Oryctolagus cuniculus: one gene and its partner. The protein of the gene in region 1 interacts with the protein of each later gene in a biochemical or structural test. Links are inferred from orthologs where the notes say so. Each region holds a gene or a part of one and is shown in the gene's direction. Other genes may lie near its edges. The genes, in order: EYA2 and SIX1.

The links.
Region 2: the proteins of EYA2 (region 1) and SIX1 form a complex in vitro, tested with the Homo sapiens proteins (2 studies listed by IntAct, with this or other methods). The link is inferred for Oryctolagus cuniculus from reciprocal best matches to the Homo sapiens genes EYA2 and SIX1.

Annotation. Positions count from the first base shown.
Region 1 is NC_091442.1:12,761,757-12,769,741, reverse strand, and holds the start of EYA2 (eyes absent homolog 2), read left to right. Parts: upstream 1-3,741; 5' UTR 3,742-4,073; intron 4,074-7,985. UniProt on the Homo sapiens protein: Functions both as protein phosphatase and as transcriptional coactivator for SIX1, and probably also for SIX2, SIX4 and SIX5.
Region 2 is NC_091451.1:9,915,760-9,923,770, forward strand, and holds the start of SIX1 (homeobox protein SIX1), read left to right. Parts: upstream 1-3,600; 5' UTR 3,601-3,705; coding exon 3,706-4,265; intron 4,266-6,214; coding exon 6,215-6,509; 3' UTR 6,510-8,011. UniProt on the Homo sapiens protein: Transcription factor that is involved in the regulation of cell proliferation, apoptosis and embryonic development. Plays an important role in the development of several organs, including kidney, muscle and inner ear.

The DNA of each region.
Region 1 (7,985 bases):
GTACCCGCAGGAGAAACGGGGCAGACACAAGGCTATGGCTGGGACACTTCCCCTCCTTCGTCTGCACCAAACTCCCAGACACACTTGCTTTGGAGCAGTAGGAAGTTGGAAGCTGATCCCATTTCTGTCTTTGCATCGGCTACCAGGAAGCTCACTATCTCATTCTCAGTCCACCACTAACAAGCGCCCAGGACCTCTTGGCCCCCATTCTGTGAAAACCTCACCCTTGACTTTCTTTCCTCCCTTGTTTCTCCATCACCTGCTTCTCTTGTTTTCTTTATTCTGCTGCCATATATGTTTTTGCAGCTGCCTCAGATCCTTTTGGAAAGAGCCAAGGTTTCAATGAAGCATCAAAAAGGAGAGACTGCTTATGTGTATAGAAAAAAGGGGTGTGCATAGAACTACAGCAGGACTTGGCGTGGGGAGGACACATGCGTGTTTGTAGGATGCGCAGGCACATGCTGAGGGCATTGTAAAGTTCGTGGTTTGCGGAGTGAATACGCTCTCCTCGCTTCCCAGAGCATTTCCGTGGAAGAAGAGAGTAGGCGTGTCTGTGCTCTGCACCCCGAAGAGCCTGCTTGGCGGCGTCACCTGTGCGGCTTTTGTTTAGAGTTATTTTGCAGGTCGTTAGGACAGGTACTTACCAAGGACACATTCAGGGAAGAAAGAGACAAGGGCAACTCCTGCAGAGCCGCGGCTGCGCTTCCCGTGATCCCGAATAAGATTCGAGGCTTCTGGTCCCACCTCCGCTCCTACCCCTCTGCTGGTGCTGTGGGGTCAGGCTTCCCTCTCCCCAGGATGGGGCTTCTCTCGCCCTCTGCTCTACCCTGGGGTCGCTGGGAGCTGCCCATGCCACAGTCCCACCTGCAGAGTTGCGTACAATTGTTCTGGGCTGGGGGCCTTGGCTGGGGGAGCTTTAAAAGCCCCTCTGGGGGTGTGAACAGGCAGGGGGCTGAAGTCCACTGCCCTGAGAGAAGGACCCACAAGAAGCACCTGCCCCGCCTTCTCTTGGCCTGGGTGCGGCCGCACATTATCGGGTAATGGGCGCTGGGGGAGTGGGGTTAACCCCTTACATTCCATGGGGGCCCTTTGTTCCTAAGTGTTGAGCATTTCCCCACACCCTGATCCTCAGGGAGAAACAGTTCACACGCTAGCCCAGAGCCCGTGTAGACATGAACACCCATGTATGAACATATTCAATCCGCCGTCCACAGGCACGGATTCCACCAACCTTGGATCCAAAATCTCCTAAAAAGAACGGTGCGTCTGTATGAACATGGACAGATGTGGCTTCCCTGTCGTTACTCCCGACACAACCTTACACAGCCACTCGACGTGGGATCCGGGCAGCAGGTGCAGCAGGTCAGCGAGAGGCGGCTTGGAGCTTCCCCGAGGCTGCGTGGGTTCTGTGCAAGCCTGGGCCACTCTCTCCAAGGAACCTGAGCACCTGCGGATGCCGAGGGATGACTGTGCCGGCTGCACGCAGTTCACCTGCCATCTCCCAAGCCAGTCTATTCCTTTAGGGAAAAAAAAATAGCCCCGAGGTTCACGGGCCAAGGTAGACGCAACACATCTGTTTGCAAAGATGCTGTGGGGAGGGGCTGGGCGTGCGGGAAGCACATCTGCCGAGCCATGGTGCGTGGCGGCCGTCGTGCCAGCAGGGAGTGTTTTACACGCATGACCTCCGTGAGTCTTCACAGCAATCATCCAGGACGAGCGCTGCTACCCCATTTCAGGGAAGGGAAAATCAAGGCCAAGTTTATGTGTAGCTTGGCCTTGAGAAGGCAAGAGTCCAATGTATGGCTGTGGCTGTGGCCGTTTTGCTCAGGGCGTGGAGGAGGAGGATGGGCACGTTTGCTTCTCCCTGAGCTGGGGCAGCAGGAAGCAGGGCGGGGGGGGTAAGCCGCGACCAGAGAGGGGTCCAGGACCCGTCCAGGGTCCTTCCAGAAGTTCGTGGGAAAACGAGAAGTTTCTTTTGCTCCAAACCGAAACGTTTAGATTCATAGTGTGCGTTTCCATGAATTTTTTCATGGCCCCTCACATATGGTTTTGGGCTCCTTGTTCAGAAATAGAAGGCAAGATTATGAATCCAGAACTAAATAGTGAATATTTCTTTACATTAGGAAGTCATCGGTGCAGATTTTTGTTTATTTCTTTGAGAGACAGAGAGGAAAGGGGGCGGCAGAGGGAGGGAGGAAGTTGGTTTCCATCCACTGGCCAGGACTGCACTGGGCCAGAGCCGGCAGGCGGGAACTCAATCCAGGTCTCCCACATGGGTGGCAGAGAGGGACCCGCCTACCTGGGCCATGGCTGCGGCCTCCTAGGACACACGTTAGCAGGAAGCTGGAGCCGGGAGTAGACGCCAGGCGCTCTGAAGTAGGACTAGGCTAAACGCCACCCCAACAGAGTTAAGCAGTTGAGAAAAACGGTTAAGAAAACTGCAAGATTCCCAGGCCAGCTTTCCCTGCCTGGATCCCAGGCTGCCTCTGGCCTCTCCCAGGCCTCGCACTCGGCTGCAGGTGGGGAGCAGCGTGGAGGGAGAGCAGTCTTCACTGCTGGTGGCTGGGAGCTGAGGGCCAGTGACGCTGATGCACTGCACCTGAACAAGTGACCGCGTGACCGCTTCTCTGCCCCCCCCCGACCCTGAGGCAGGGCCCTCGCAAGTGCAGAGGCCGGGAGCCCAGCGCCCCTGGGGTTCCCAGGCCCCTTGCGGCTGAGCTGAAGACGCTTCAGTAGCGAGAGCCAGGGCCTGGGAGCCGGCCAGACCTGGATTTCAGCGCTGGCTCGGCCGCTCTGCCTCCGCTGGGCTTCCGTGTAAAATGGGCTTGCGAACTTCAACCACCTTTGAGTCTTGGGGAGGGGGGGATGAGGCGAGATCAGCAAAAGCTGGTTCAGTCTAGAGGGGCATAGGGCTGCCAGGTGCAGCAAATAAAAATCTGTGTTAAGGCGGAATTCCCGACCCCCACGGCTCGCGGAGGGCGCACTCCACGCCAGGCTCCGTCCCGAGACCCTCCTGGCTGCCCTCCCCACTTCCTGCAGCCCCACAGACGGCCACGGCGGGCCAGGATGCTTTGAGACGGGAGCCCGGAGGTCCCACAGTGGAATTCATAAGCTTAGACAGTGGCTGAGGGGGAGAGGAGCGTGCACGGACGCCGTGGAAGACCTCTAACCCCGCAAAGACTGCACGGTGGCCAGGCCACGGTGAATTAAGGGGGGGGGGCTTAATTTCGGCCCTGTAATCGAAATACACTCTTGAGGCCTCAGTTTCCTTATCTGTGAAATGGGTGAACCCTCGTCTCACGGATACGGTCTCCTGATGCAGATGTCACCTCCTTCCAGAGGCCTTCCGGAACTGCTGTAGCTGGGATTACCGCCTCGGGCCACAGGTGCGGTCAGTTCCCAGCGTGGCCTTGCTCTGGCTTCGCGTGTTTGCGTTAGGCCTGGCTCTCCGCGTGTAGGTAACTTCCAGGGGGGCAGAACAGGGTTTTGATTCCAGCGGAATCCGCCAGGCACTGCGCAGGCACGTGGAGGCCCCATCCACGCTGAATGAATGAATGAATGAATGGGTGGGTGAGTGAATGAATGAGTGTCCGCGACGTGGCTGAGCACTCGTTCCCATCAGCCTTTCCTTTCTCAGGGGCCCTGCCCGGGCTGCAGGGGGACGCGCTGCCCCGGGAGGCAGGCGGCGCTGGGGACCGCTGGGTGGGGAGGAGACTGGGCGCTCGCCTCCCCGGCAGGACCCGCGAGGCCGAGCGCGCTCGCCTCGGCTGCAGGCGCCCGGAGCAGCGCGGCCGCATCGGCAGGGCCCGAGCCGTTCGCCCCGCGTGCGCCGGCCGAGCCCAGCGCCGCGCCTCGGCGCCCCCACGCGCCCACGCAGCGGTGCGGGGACCCGGGTGGGGGCAGAGGGAGGGCCCGGCCGAGGGAGGGGCAGGGGCCGGTCTTCCGCGCGCAGGCAGCGGCCGCGGCAGCCCAGGAGGCGGAGGCAGCAGAGGCAGCAGCGCGCCGGCCGCAGTCAGCCCCGCCGCATCCGACCCGCGCCGCGCCGCGCCGGGGCGCCCTCTCCTCTGCGCGCGGTGAGTACCGCCCGCGGCGCCCACTCCGGGCCGCCCGCCGGGACTCGCCGGGCGGGAACTGCCCGGGATCCCCTCGCCCGGCGCCTCGGTCCCGCGCTCGCCGAGCGGGGCCTCCCAGCTGTCGGGGAGCTCGGGGGCGCCTGGGGCTCCCAGGGCCACTCCCAGAGTCCAGGGGCAGAGGGGGCACCAGACAGACCCTGTCTCGGGAAGGTCCCCCTCAGGCCCCGAGCCTCAGTTTCCCCGTGCGCTTTGGCGGGGCGTGGGGGGAGCGACCCTGAAGTTAGCAGTCCCGCGCGCGGGACAAGTGCACGGCGCGCAGGCGGTGTAGACGGGGCTGGGTCTTCCGTGTTTGGTTGCGTTTACGGTCCTGGCGGTTCGCAAAAATAAGAAAAGGTGGCGGAGGCGCTCCCGTGCGGGTCCGAAGGGGCTCCGGGAGCTCGCCCCAGGGCAGCGCGGGTGGCTGACCGCGGAGGGAGCGGAGCGGGCCGCCGAGCCTCGCCTTCCCCGCGACCTCTCTCGTGCAAAGTCCGGGCGCGTGGTAGCGGAGCGCGCGGCCCCGGCGCCCGCTGAGTGGGAGCTGGGACTTGGGAACTGCACGCGCGAAGGCGACTCGCGGAAGGCGAGGGCTTTCCTGTACGGGGAGAGAGTGGGGGGCAGATCGGCCCCGGAGCCCCGCGGCCCGGAGGTCGCACGGCTCTGCGGCCCGAGATCCCGAAAGGAGTCGCTGACAAGCTCCGGGGAACCCGCGTGATCGCGGCCAGGGAAAAGACCCTGGGCGCGCGTTTCTCGGCAGCGGCGAGGGCGCCTCGCCTTGCGCCCCGAGCGCCCCGCCGCCCTCCGGAGCCGGCTGGGGGCTGCACGGCGGTGGACAGCGTTTTCTTCCCGTGTCCCTGAAGTGCTGCGTGAGGGGCCACCGCCTGGCGGGGCGCGCCCGGGGACGGCGGAGGCCGCGGGTTCGGGGCCACCGTGAGGACTTGGTTCGGTCGTCGCTCCCTCCCTGGAGGGGCTCATGGCCCCGGGCAGGGGCAGCGGCTACACTTGAGACTGAGGCCGTGGGCGCCCGGGGTTTGGGGGAGAGGCTGTTCTTAGCATTGACTGGGTCTGAGTCCTGAGCCGGTATCCACGTCGGCGGGTGTCCACGGCGCCATGTGAGAAAAAGGGGGCAGACACGGGTGTGTGTATGTGGGGGGAGACTCCTTTTCAAAATAACCTTGGGAAAGAATTTCACCCAAGAAATGCCCCCCTTCCCACCACGGTAACCCCGCAAACTTCTATTTCGTCGTCTTCTTCCGACTTCGGCAGACTGGGCAGGGTTAACAGGCAATGTACGGTACAAATGGTGACGGTTTGAATCTTGCTTTGGACAAAGCATAGGGCCGGGTTTGGATTCAAAATCTCCGTGCCTTTGGCGGAAGCTAAGTGTTGCCCTTGTGAGCAGCGGCCTGCGGGGAAGGCTGAGCGACGGAGCAACCTGGCTTCTCTGTAGCAGCTTCTCCTGTCCCTGTCGGCTTCTCTGTAGCAGCTTCTCCTGTCCCCGTCTCGCTCCTGACTTCAGGACACTCGCTGATTTATCTGAAAGGAGCGGCCCCCTTTTCCTCCATCCTCAAATAGCTCGCCCGGCACAGTGGCCGTGTGGATAAACACATAAATCACTTTCTTGATATCAGATAACTAAGGAAAGGCAAGAAAAAGAAAAAGATGTCTACACCAGTACGTTGGGCTTTACAGAAAAAAAAAACAATATTGTAGATACTTAAGTTTTAAAATCTTCTTTTCATGCCTTTTATGTTGTGTTAAGCACGTCATAAAGAGATGGTTTGTTGACTTGTTACAGGATTACGATTTGGCAAAAACACCCGAGACCCGAGACACACTGTGTCTACTAAGCAGCCATGACTTCTGCTTTAAATTGCATGGAAGCGATGGCAAGCCGTGTTCCAGACGGGGAAATTGATAAAACGCTGGCTGCCGCGGGGAGAACGGAAAAGCCCTGGGCGAGGGCTCTGTGGTGCCGCTGAGTGCGCCCTGAGTTAGGAGCAGAAGCTGCTGAGACCTGGCAGTTTAAGTCTGCAGCGTGCAGGCGCGTCCACTTTAAGACGAGTCCTGGTTCCCCCGTGACAAGATGACTCCTTTCCCACAAAGAAGCCGTTTCCTTATTTTTTCAGTGACTTTTCCAAAGATAACTTGCGTCGGGCACGAGAGGCTCCGAAGGAGGGCTCGTGCTCTCCGCCAGATGTGTGTTAGGTGTCCTCAGCCGGAACGCCCAGTTTGAGACTAATTAGGCCTGCAATAAACTCCTTGTGTAATAAAATCGCGGGCTGTTCTGGTGAAAACGCGGGGTTCCCAGTAGCTCGCGGCAGATGCCTTTCGGGGCAGGGAGAGCGCGAGCCGGCGGCTGGCAGGGGAGAGAAGGGAGTGTGGATGACTCGGAGACGCACGCGTGTTTCGGGGGCCTGGGGGTTTCTGTCTGCCGGGATGGCCGGAGCGGGAGGGAGACTCCGTATCCGGCTGACGGTGTCTCTGGGTCCCAGGTTGTGCTGAGTCTGCAGGAGAGGGTCAGATGGCCCCTTATCTCCTCCACACCTGGCCCCTCGACAGAAAGCGAGGCTGGCCCGATGCGGACTCCTTGGAGAAGAAACGAACTTCTTCCCCCAAAGGCTTCGCATGAAAGGAGGTGCTGCCCTCGCACGTGGCTCTCCGGCTGCAGGGCTTGGGAGGGGCAGGACCCTCTGGAGCCAGTGCGGGGTTGTGTCGGTGGAATGATGCGTTCTCTAGTGAGCTGCTCTGGGAGTGGAGTCGCTGGACCCTGCTTGGAAGGCAGCTCCGTGCAGAGAACTCGCCCCAGCCCCGAGAAAACACAGCCTGGGGACAGAAAACAGAAACACGCAGCCCCCTACGCCTGCGCTCCCAGCCTCTCCCCGAGCCGCGCCCCCAGATCACTTTTCCCCCTTTCTCCTTTGTGGCGGTTCAAACAGTGCTAAACCCGCAGCCATGAGACCCGGGTAGGAGAACAATTGGAGAATTTGCAGGAGCAATGCTTTGCTCTCATTGTTGGAAGCTCTGAGCTGGCCTGATGGTGGTTGACCAGCACTCCTTCTAATCCAACAAGTGTGAACCTCCTGCACTTAGACAAGCAAGTGTCCAAATGCATCTTGGACTTCTGTCTATAGATGAATTAGAGGGGCAATCAGTTTCCAGGTAGGAAGGTATCTGCCAGGTGTATTTAGGGCCAAAGAATATGAAGAAAGTCGCCAGTTTTTACATTTTGTTTAAAATGCATTTTCCTGCTTGCATCATCTTGTGTGCCCTGGCCGTTTTTGTCACTTGCAAAGTGTCCTTGCCCTTCACGACGATGCTAAATTCCTGCCGGCTGAGGGGTCCACGGATGTCAGGCTGGGAATCAGCTCTGCGCGTGGGTTTTAAAGGGAAGATTCCTGAGAGTCTTAATTTTCATCCAACCTTTGTTAACAAGGAAACGGAGTCCCACGGCCGATGACTTGTGCAGAGCCACGGGGGACTTCCGTTGGCTGCAGAGCAAGCCTCGGCCACAAACAGTGGGACCTGTGGCTCTGGCAGCGTCTATGCCATTGTTTCCCGGACACGGAAGGTTTTAAATGCGCGGCCCACAGTTTTTTTCTGAAGCTGCGTCGACAAGTTCTTAAAATCTTGGGAAGTGTTTAGAAACTGCAGATCCGAACCTCTGAGAGTCGGGATGGGTAGCAGGTTGGGTAAGGGAAAATGGCTGTTTGTTTTCAAGGGCTAATTTGATTTGTTCCTTCGATACTTAATGCCCCGCACTCCAGTTCCTAAACTGAGTCAATAGTGTTACCGGCAGGCAGTCGAAAGAGCCTCTGACGTTACGGTAGACGCAGCCCAAGTCGGGTTTACCGGAAGGTGCTGGAGGGTTGCGGG
Region 2 (8,011 bases), on another chromosome or scaffold:
CCCTGCCTGAGCCCTCGGCCTATTCAGACCTCGCGGGCAGCAGCGTCCCCGTCGAAAGCAGGTGGGCGGCTGCTCCGGCGCCGCGCGGGCCGCCGAGGCCGGGCTCCCTAGGGTCGAGGGCACCGGAGTTTCCGACAAAGCAGAGGACAAAAAGCTGAGCGTCGTCACCGCAGCCCGGATCGGGGTTGGGGGCGGGAAGGGGGTGTCTCCGCACTGTCCCAGAGCGACGACACCGGTTTATTAACGCCTCTGGATGCCCTTCCCTTCCGAGTATCTGTAGGTAAAGTGGGATCCCCGTGGTCGAAGAAATTCCAAGAAAGCAGGCTGGTGACACCCAAGCCTCTCAATTCCAAAGCCAGAAGGGAAGCGAGTGGGTCCCGGCTGGAGGGGTTTGAGCTAAGGCCTTGTGTCAAGCCCGCTCAGAAACCCCAGCAGCTCCTGTCTTTCCTCGTCGGCCTCTCCATCCGCCAGAGAAGCGCACCCGGCCTTTACCTGCCCCCGGGAGGCACCGAAGCGCCGAAACCCGGCGTCGGGTGCCCGCAGCCGCCGCCGGGCTGGAGGGGCTCGTTCCCTTTAAGCCTCCGACGCATCTCTGTTTTTCGTGTGATTTGCATTGACAGCGAAGGTTTTATGTTACCAGAACAACCCAAACCTTTCTGTGTGCGATTTAAAATGGATCGCTTGGTTTATGCGGTTTGTAAATTCATGTCATTTTACCTCTTTTAGTGGTTTTCAGTGAAAGGTTCCATTTTGGGAAACCTTATATATCCGAGCCAATAATTAACATTTATAACAATTGGTTCCCCTAACCGAGGGATCGAAATAGCAGGTAGGACCCTTGGAACAAAGCGCAGAGCACTTTCCTTTCTAGCTAACGCGATCGGTTGGATTAAACGCCAAGAAAAGGGCCAGCGGGCTTGGGCACCGGCCCTCGGACCTCGGGCGCTCCTCACCAATCACAGAACCCACCCCGTCTTCCCTGCGGTCGCCCACGTCTTCCTTCTGAAGAGAGATGGGAAGAAGTGTGCAGGGAGGTCTGGAGGAAGCAGGGTTTCAGCGGTGGTCCTACTGGCGTCTAATCGCCCTCTCTCTGCTCGCTGTCATCTCCTGTAGAATTTATACCTGCCTTTATTTGTCCAAGCTATGCCTCATTTCCGTATACAAAATTGTTAATTACAAAGCACACCGCATACTCAGCACACTGTTTGTCTTTTCAGGGACTCGGCTGTGCTGCAAGACCTCCCTCCACCCCACCCCCATTATAATTGTGCGCACTTGCTCCAGACTTTAGGGTATTAGCTGATTTTCGGAGCCTGGTTTAAGCCTCCGTTCCGGTCCTCACACAGCTGCGTTGTCAATAAGACTGTTCCAAGCAGAGACATTCGTTCTGGCAGGACACCGCAGCTCCTCAAGACTTCATCTGAAAACATCACGGGCACTAAAATAAGACAGCGAGGGAAAATTACCAGACACATGGCCTTGGACTCAGAGTGCCAGGCTTCTAGTTTAGCAAGTAAGTCACTGAGCGTACCATGTGGCAGGGGTTCTTTTGAAACCACACGCACCCATTAAATGCATTTTTTTAAAAAAAATTAGCCTAGAGGTAATGAAATATCAGCATCTGCTTCCAGCGTCTAATTGCATGGGATACAGAGAGCTTGCAGGCTGCAGAAAGCATTGTGTAGGAGTTCAGCAGGGAGGCAGCTCCCTCTCTGCTTGAATCTCCCCAGAGGCGGCGCTGACGTGGGAAACCTGTAAGAGTTGACCATGGACATTGCAGGGTGCACTGGGTGGGGTGCATTATTTTAAAACCATATAAATTATACAAGGAGAAACCCACACAGGCTCTCCTCCTGCCACTTATGTCTCTCTATGCTACAGATTCTGTAATGCAGGGCTCTTTGACTGATGGAATCCAAACATATTTAAAGAAGATGAGCAAGTTTAAAGAGCCTAGGGTTTGTTCTTCTCCATCCCCTAAGAGGGCGCGTTGCAATCAAAAGCATTTTTGAAGTGTACTTAAAATTCTGTTTTGAACTTATCTAATCAGAGATAAGTATAGTCATAAAGTCCTTCTCCTTCCACCATTTGGCTTCCCTTATCTCCACTCATTGTTCTTATCTCCTGCCAGTCTCAGCTACTGACAATAGATTATCTCTGTTTAGAGAGGCTAATTGTTTTCAGAATCTTTTTAATAATTGCTTTGGAACAAGGTGTGCAAATGAGGCTTAAGATAATTACAGCTTCATTTGTTGGTGCAGTTTTACTACACATTCTTCACACATGGAGCAAAATAGCAGATGACGGGACTGAAATTGCCAGACATCTCTGTTGTCTGGTAGTACACACGCACGCACGCACACGCGCACATGCAGTCTTTATTTAATCATCTTCTTGCAACCACTGTCCGCGTCCCTTTGAGGATAGTGTCCCTCTCAGAGCAGGGCAAAGGATTACGTTACAACCGACGGTTACTGGAGCCGGGGCACAGTTTTATTTAATTTACACCCCGTCCAGCGCCTTTCCCAAAGCATTTTTGCTAATGGCAAGCAAAGCTTCTAGGCTTTCCTCAGTAGCAGAAGCGGCGTGGGAGAGCGATCGCGCGGCTGAGAAACTGAGGCTAGAAGCCTGCTGGCTCCTGTACGGCGCAGAACGCCACGAACCCTCGAAGTCGCCACCCGACAAAAGCGACTCTCTTTTAACCAGCTCTTCGCCATGTCGCAAACCCGGGTGGCCCTCGGAGGACGCGGTCCGGCGGCTAATTCCAGTGCCCCGCGGAAGGCGGTGGGGAGAGGGGAGAGGAAGGAAGGGGGTGGGGAGGGGCGAGGCTGGGCCCCTGGGGCTGTAGCGAACCCGGGGAGAGAAACCACTTCTCTAGCGCCCGCAGCCCAGAGCCCGGGTCGGTTCTTGTATTATTTATCGCGTTCCATACGCTATTCATCAATCCATTATTTATTCATTCCAACATTAAGGTAATTAAATATGAGCTCACCGAGAAAGGGCCAGTCTGCAAGGGGCCGAGGCAGGAGCACCGAGGGAGAGGAGGGGAATTAGAACGCTCAGGGCCATTGATTCGTGCGGACACGCGCGCGGCTCCCCTTAGATGACACTGGCGAGGGGGCGCGCGCTGCAGTGCGGCGACTCTTCGCCCACTCCCCCACCCCCGCAGCGCGGCTCCCTCCCACCGGCCGCACCTCGCTTCCCACCTCTTAGGGTTGGTCACTCGCCTCCCACCACTCCCTACCCCCCGCTCGGCAGCCTCGCCCTCCCCGCGCGGGGCGGTGCGGCCCAGCGGCCCGGCCGGGCGGTGCGCGGGCAGGCCAGCCCCGGATAGGCGCCGCCGGCAGCCAATCAGCGAGCCGGGGACGCTGCGCGCTTTAAGGCCGCTGCGGGGAGAACAGAAACCAACTTCCCCGGCCACGAGCAGCATCCACCGGGCGGGAGGCCGGAGCCAGCGAAGCCCGGAAGGCTGAGGAGTGTGCCGGCCGCTCGGCGTCCAGCGCGCCGCCCGCCCCCCCCCCTCCACGCCCCGCTCCTCCGCGTCTTCCTCGGCCGCCCACCCCCCCAAGTTCCGACTCGCTCGCTCTTCCACGCAAAGCCTGGGGAGGGGGTTAGGAGCAGCCGCGCCCCTCTCCCAGCGGCCGCTTTTTGGGCTCTGCTCCCTGCCGCGTGCGCCTGAGCCGCGCGCCCCGGCAGGCCTCAGCCATGTCGATGCTGCCGTCGTTCGGCTTCACGCAGGAGCAAGTGGCGTGCGTGTGCGAGGTTCTGCAGCAAGGGGGAAACCTGGAGCGCTTGGGCAGGTTCCTGTGGTCGCTGCCCGCCTGCGACCACCTGCACAAAAACGAGAGCGTGCTCAAGGCCAAGGCGGTGGTCGCCTTTCACCGCGGCAACTTCCGCGAGCTCTACAAGATCCTGGAGAGCCACCAGTTCTCGCCGCACAACCATCCCAAACTGCAGCAGCTCTGGCTGAAGGCGCACTACGTGGAGGCCGAGAAGCTCCGCGGCCGGCCCCTGGGCGCCGTGGGCAAGTATCGGGTGCGCCGAAAATTCCCGCTGCCGCGCACCATCTGGGACGGCGAGGAGACCAGCTACTGCTTCAAGGAGAAGTCGCGGGGCGTGCTGCGGGAGTGGTACGCGCACAACCCCTACCCCTCGCCGCGCGAAAAGCGGGAGCTGGCCGAGGCCACCGGCCTCACCACCACGCAGGTCAGCAACTGGTTTAAGAACCGGAGGCAAAGAGACCGGGCTGCCGAGGCCAAGGAAAGGTACGCGGCGTGGTTCCCGCCGCTCGGGCGACCCCGGGCAGCCTTCCCAACCCCTCCGCCCCTCCCCGCCCCCGCAGGCACCCGCCACTCGGTGCTCCCCGCCAGCGGGAGCGCGTCCGCGGGGCGGCGCCCGGGCCTCGGCGGGTTCCGCAGCGAAAGTTCGTGAACTCGGAGGTTGCTTGCCAGGGACGGGGGCCTCGCTGGCTCTGAGCGCCGCGCGCGGGCCTCTCTGAGTCGTGGGTGTTGGGAAGTATTGGCGCTAGATTTGTTTTTGGAGCCTTCCCGGCCGGCTGCGGCCAGGAGCTGGGCGAAGGGTGAGAACCTCCGGACGAACGGCGAGGGAGGCGTCGAATGGGGATCGCGGAGAACGCGGGTCGGCGGGGGCTGAGCGGAGCGGTGAAGCCGCCCCGAGCCGTCGGCTGGGCCCCCCTGCCACCCGGTTCTCCCCTCGCTACGTCCTGCTGGTCTCCGGCCTGGGAGTCGCCTGCTTCATTCCGCCCTAGCCGGACAAAGGGAGGCAGGCGTCTTTAAACTAAACGCACAGCGAGGAGGGCTTGGGGGAGAGCTGGAGCCGCTGGTACCGCTCCCCGCCCCGGCGCCCCGAGCCAGAAGGGATCGCCCCTGGCAGTGTGGCCGGGGCGCCGCAGCCCGTCCGCCCCCGGTCCGTGCCGCCGCCCGGGGCGACGGAGGGGTCTCAGGCGCAGACGCCACTGGTCCTGGGGCGCAGAAGGCAATCTATTTCCAATCCGCCTCCGCCTCTCCCCTCCTAGCGCCAACACCCTCGGCCACCTGGCCGGCCTCCATCCGTGCGCTGGAGTTTCCGACCGAGACTGGGAAGGCGGCGAGGAGAGCGCTCCGCGAAGCCGAGGAGTTTTGGGGGAAACCTGAGCGCAAGGGCCGGCTGGGTTTCCTTTGTTCGCTTCCAAGCCTGGGGGCCCGAAGATCTGGCTTCCTCTTTCCCCCTCGGGGTGGAAAACCGCGGGGGGGATCGTGTACGTTCAGCTGAAATGGGCTGTCTGGGAGAGAGGCCGCGGGCCGGGGAAAGGGAGGGGGAGAGCGGCGGGCGCCGGTTTGGGGAGGACCCGCGAGCGCTTGGAAGGCGGAAGCGTCCAGGGCAGCGCCGCCCTGGAGCTAACCCGGACTCGGTGCCTTGGACGCGCGTACGGGCGCGCCGGGCAGCTCCGCTCCCCGGTCGGAGGGGACTGGCCTGGGGTGAGCTTCGGCGGCGAGTTTGACAGGGGCCGCGAGGGGCTGAGCAGTGGGCAAGTCGCAGGGCAGCAGGTTCCAGTTAGCCTTTACTTTCAAAACGCCATCCCAGAAGCCGGGCCCAAGGGCCCACTCCCTGATGAAATCCGAGAGACTGGCCGCGCTCCCTGTGTTTGCTCAGGTCACTGGGCCGCGCTGGGCACCACTTCCCGTGACCCGTCCAGTGCCTCCGAACCCGCCACCTCCGGGCAGGGGGGCAGGGAAGCTCCTCGTTTAATTGTTTCCGCAGATGGGAACAGAGCAATTGACTCGATGTACCCCAAACATGTGTGCCCTGGGCGCTGCGTTTGTCCCCTGGCCATTTCTCTATCATCAACAACCATTTGTTGGAAGAGTTCGCCGTTAACGTCTGAATGTGCTCTTAGTTGGTAGGCGTTTCAATGCAAGGCCTTGGCACGTTTTTTGTTTGTTGCAAGTAAGACCTGTGCATCTGGCTTTCTGAAATCTGGGAATGACAGAGACCTGGCTCCCCGCGGCAGGCTGTGTCCCTAATTTCTGCCTCCTCACCTCCTCTGTGACCCTCAGGGACCGTGGAGAGGGGGGCGACGGCGGCAGAGCCCTTCCATTTGGGTTGGTGACAGATTGCACAATGGCCCTCTCCTCCTTCCAGCGCCCCTCCCTCCAGCTCACACTTTTTTTTTTTTTCTTTTTGTAACCATATGGTGTTGTCCTGTCTGTCTTAGGGAGAACACGGAAAACAATAACTCCTCCTCCAACAAGCAGAATCAACTCTCTCCTCTGGAAGGGGGCAAGCCGCTCATGTCCAGCTCAGAAGAGGAATTCTCACCTCCGCAAAGTCCAGACCAGAACTCGGTCCTTCTGCTACAGGGCAACATGGGCCACGCCAGGAGCTCAAACTATTCCCTCCCGGGCTTAGCCGCCTCGCAGCCCAGCCACGGCCTGCAGGCTCACCAGCACCAGCTGCAGGACTCTCTGCTCGGCCCCCTCACCTCCAGTCTGGTGGACTTGGGGTCCTAAGCGGGGGCGGCCCTGGGCCTTGAAGGGATGGCTGGAACAGCAACCAACCAGAGCGACTAGGGACACTTGTAAATAGGAATCAGGAACACCCTTGCAGCTTGTTTCTGGGGTTCTTTGCGCATAAAGGAATGGTGGACTGCCACAGATATCTCTTGAAAAAAATCGAAGCCGATGGTGATTTCAAACTTTAGTCTCCCTCTTCTCTCTGACCCTTCACTTTTGCGTTTTCCCGTCCCAGTGTGGAGATCAAGGGGGGGAAAAACCCAAAAACAAAAGCACCCAGGCATTGTTCTGAGCGACCAATGCACCTTCTTCGAATACCTTTCTTTTCTTTCCCCCCCAATGAACAGGAATTGCAAGTCAACTGGATTTTAATTATTTTCTTTTAATTTATTTAAGGAAAACTATTTTGGAAAGAGGAAAAAGAAATGGAGAGAGAGAGAGAGAGAGAGAGAGAGGTGTCAAAATAATTATGAAAATAGGAACCTCCTGCCTGGAGGAACTGGCTGTATTCTTAACATGAGTAGGAAAAATATAATCATACCACTTTTTTTTTGATGATGGGAAAATTAAGTTTACATTTTTCATATTTAGTGTTAAATAATTTTATGTAGATTAAAATAAAAGAACAGTATTAGGGGGAAAACCAAGTGCCTAAATGTCTTAATACTGTCTAGTGTGAGGCAGTTAGAATAGAAGTCAACATTAGTGATACAACTGTTTTATTGTCAAATTTGGTGGGGTTTTTTTTTTTTTGGTTGTTGTTTGTTTTCTTGGTTTTTTTTTTTTTAAGTGACAAACTCTAAAAATGTACCAATGTGAAAAATAACTTTCCTGAATGCATTAGGTCTCCTGTGCTCACAGCTGTCAGCCCATAGCCGCCTCCTGCTCACGGGGCTCTCCTGTGCCCAGCGTCCAGCTTGCACAATGTGGCGACAGATCTGGCGTCCTGGTATTCGTTACTAAAACAGCATGTGTTTTCAGGTTTCTTTTCTATTGTACCTAAACCAGTCTAAATTAAAACTTGGTAGAACACCAGGAGTACGATTCTGTTTCTCAAAGGTGAGTTGTGTATTACTGTCATTGGGCCCTATTTTTTTTAATGCTTTCCGACTTAACGGTGGTTATGAATTACAAGGTGACTTTTAAGGCCATCACCTGAATCAAGAGTCCTACCTAACTTAATAGTATGACAGAGAAAAGTGAGTTTAGCTTTGGAGTATTTATTTATTTTTTATTATTTAGATATGCAGTTTCGTTTACCACTAGTTCTTAATGGCATTTATATGGTAGCTCTTTTGTGTTAATAAATTTATGACAACACTGTGAAATTAAAAATAATTTATCTGTTTGGGGGGAAAAATAGGGAACTCGACCAAGGAGAGACACATTGTGGATGAATCTGCGCAGAGAGAAAGAAGACCAGCAGAACAGGGGCTTTTTTTTTTTTTTTTCAGGGCTGCCTGGTAGTGTCCAGAAAAATCCCAATAATCTTGTAGGCT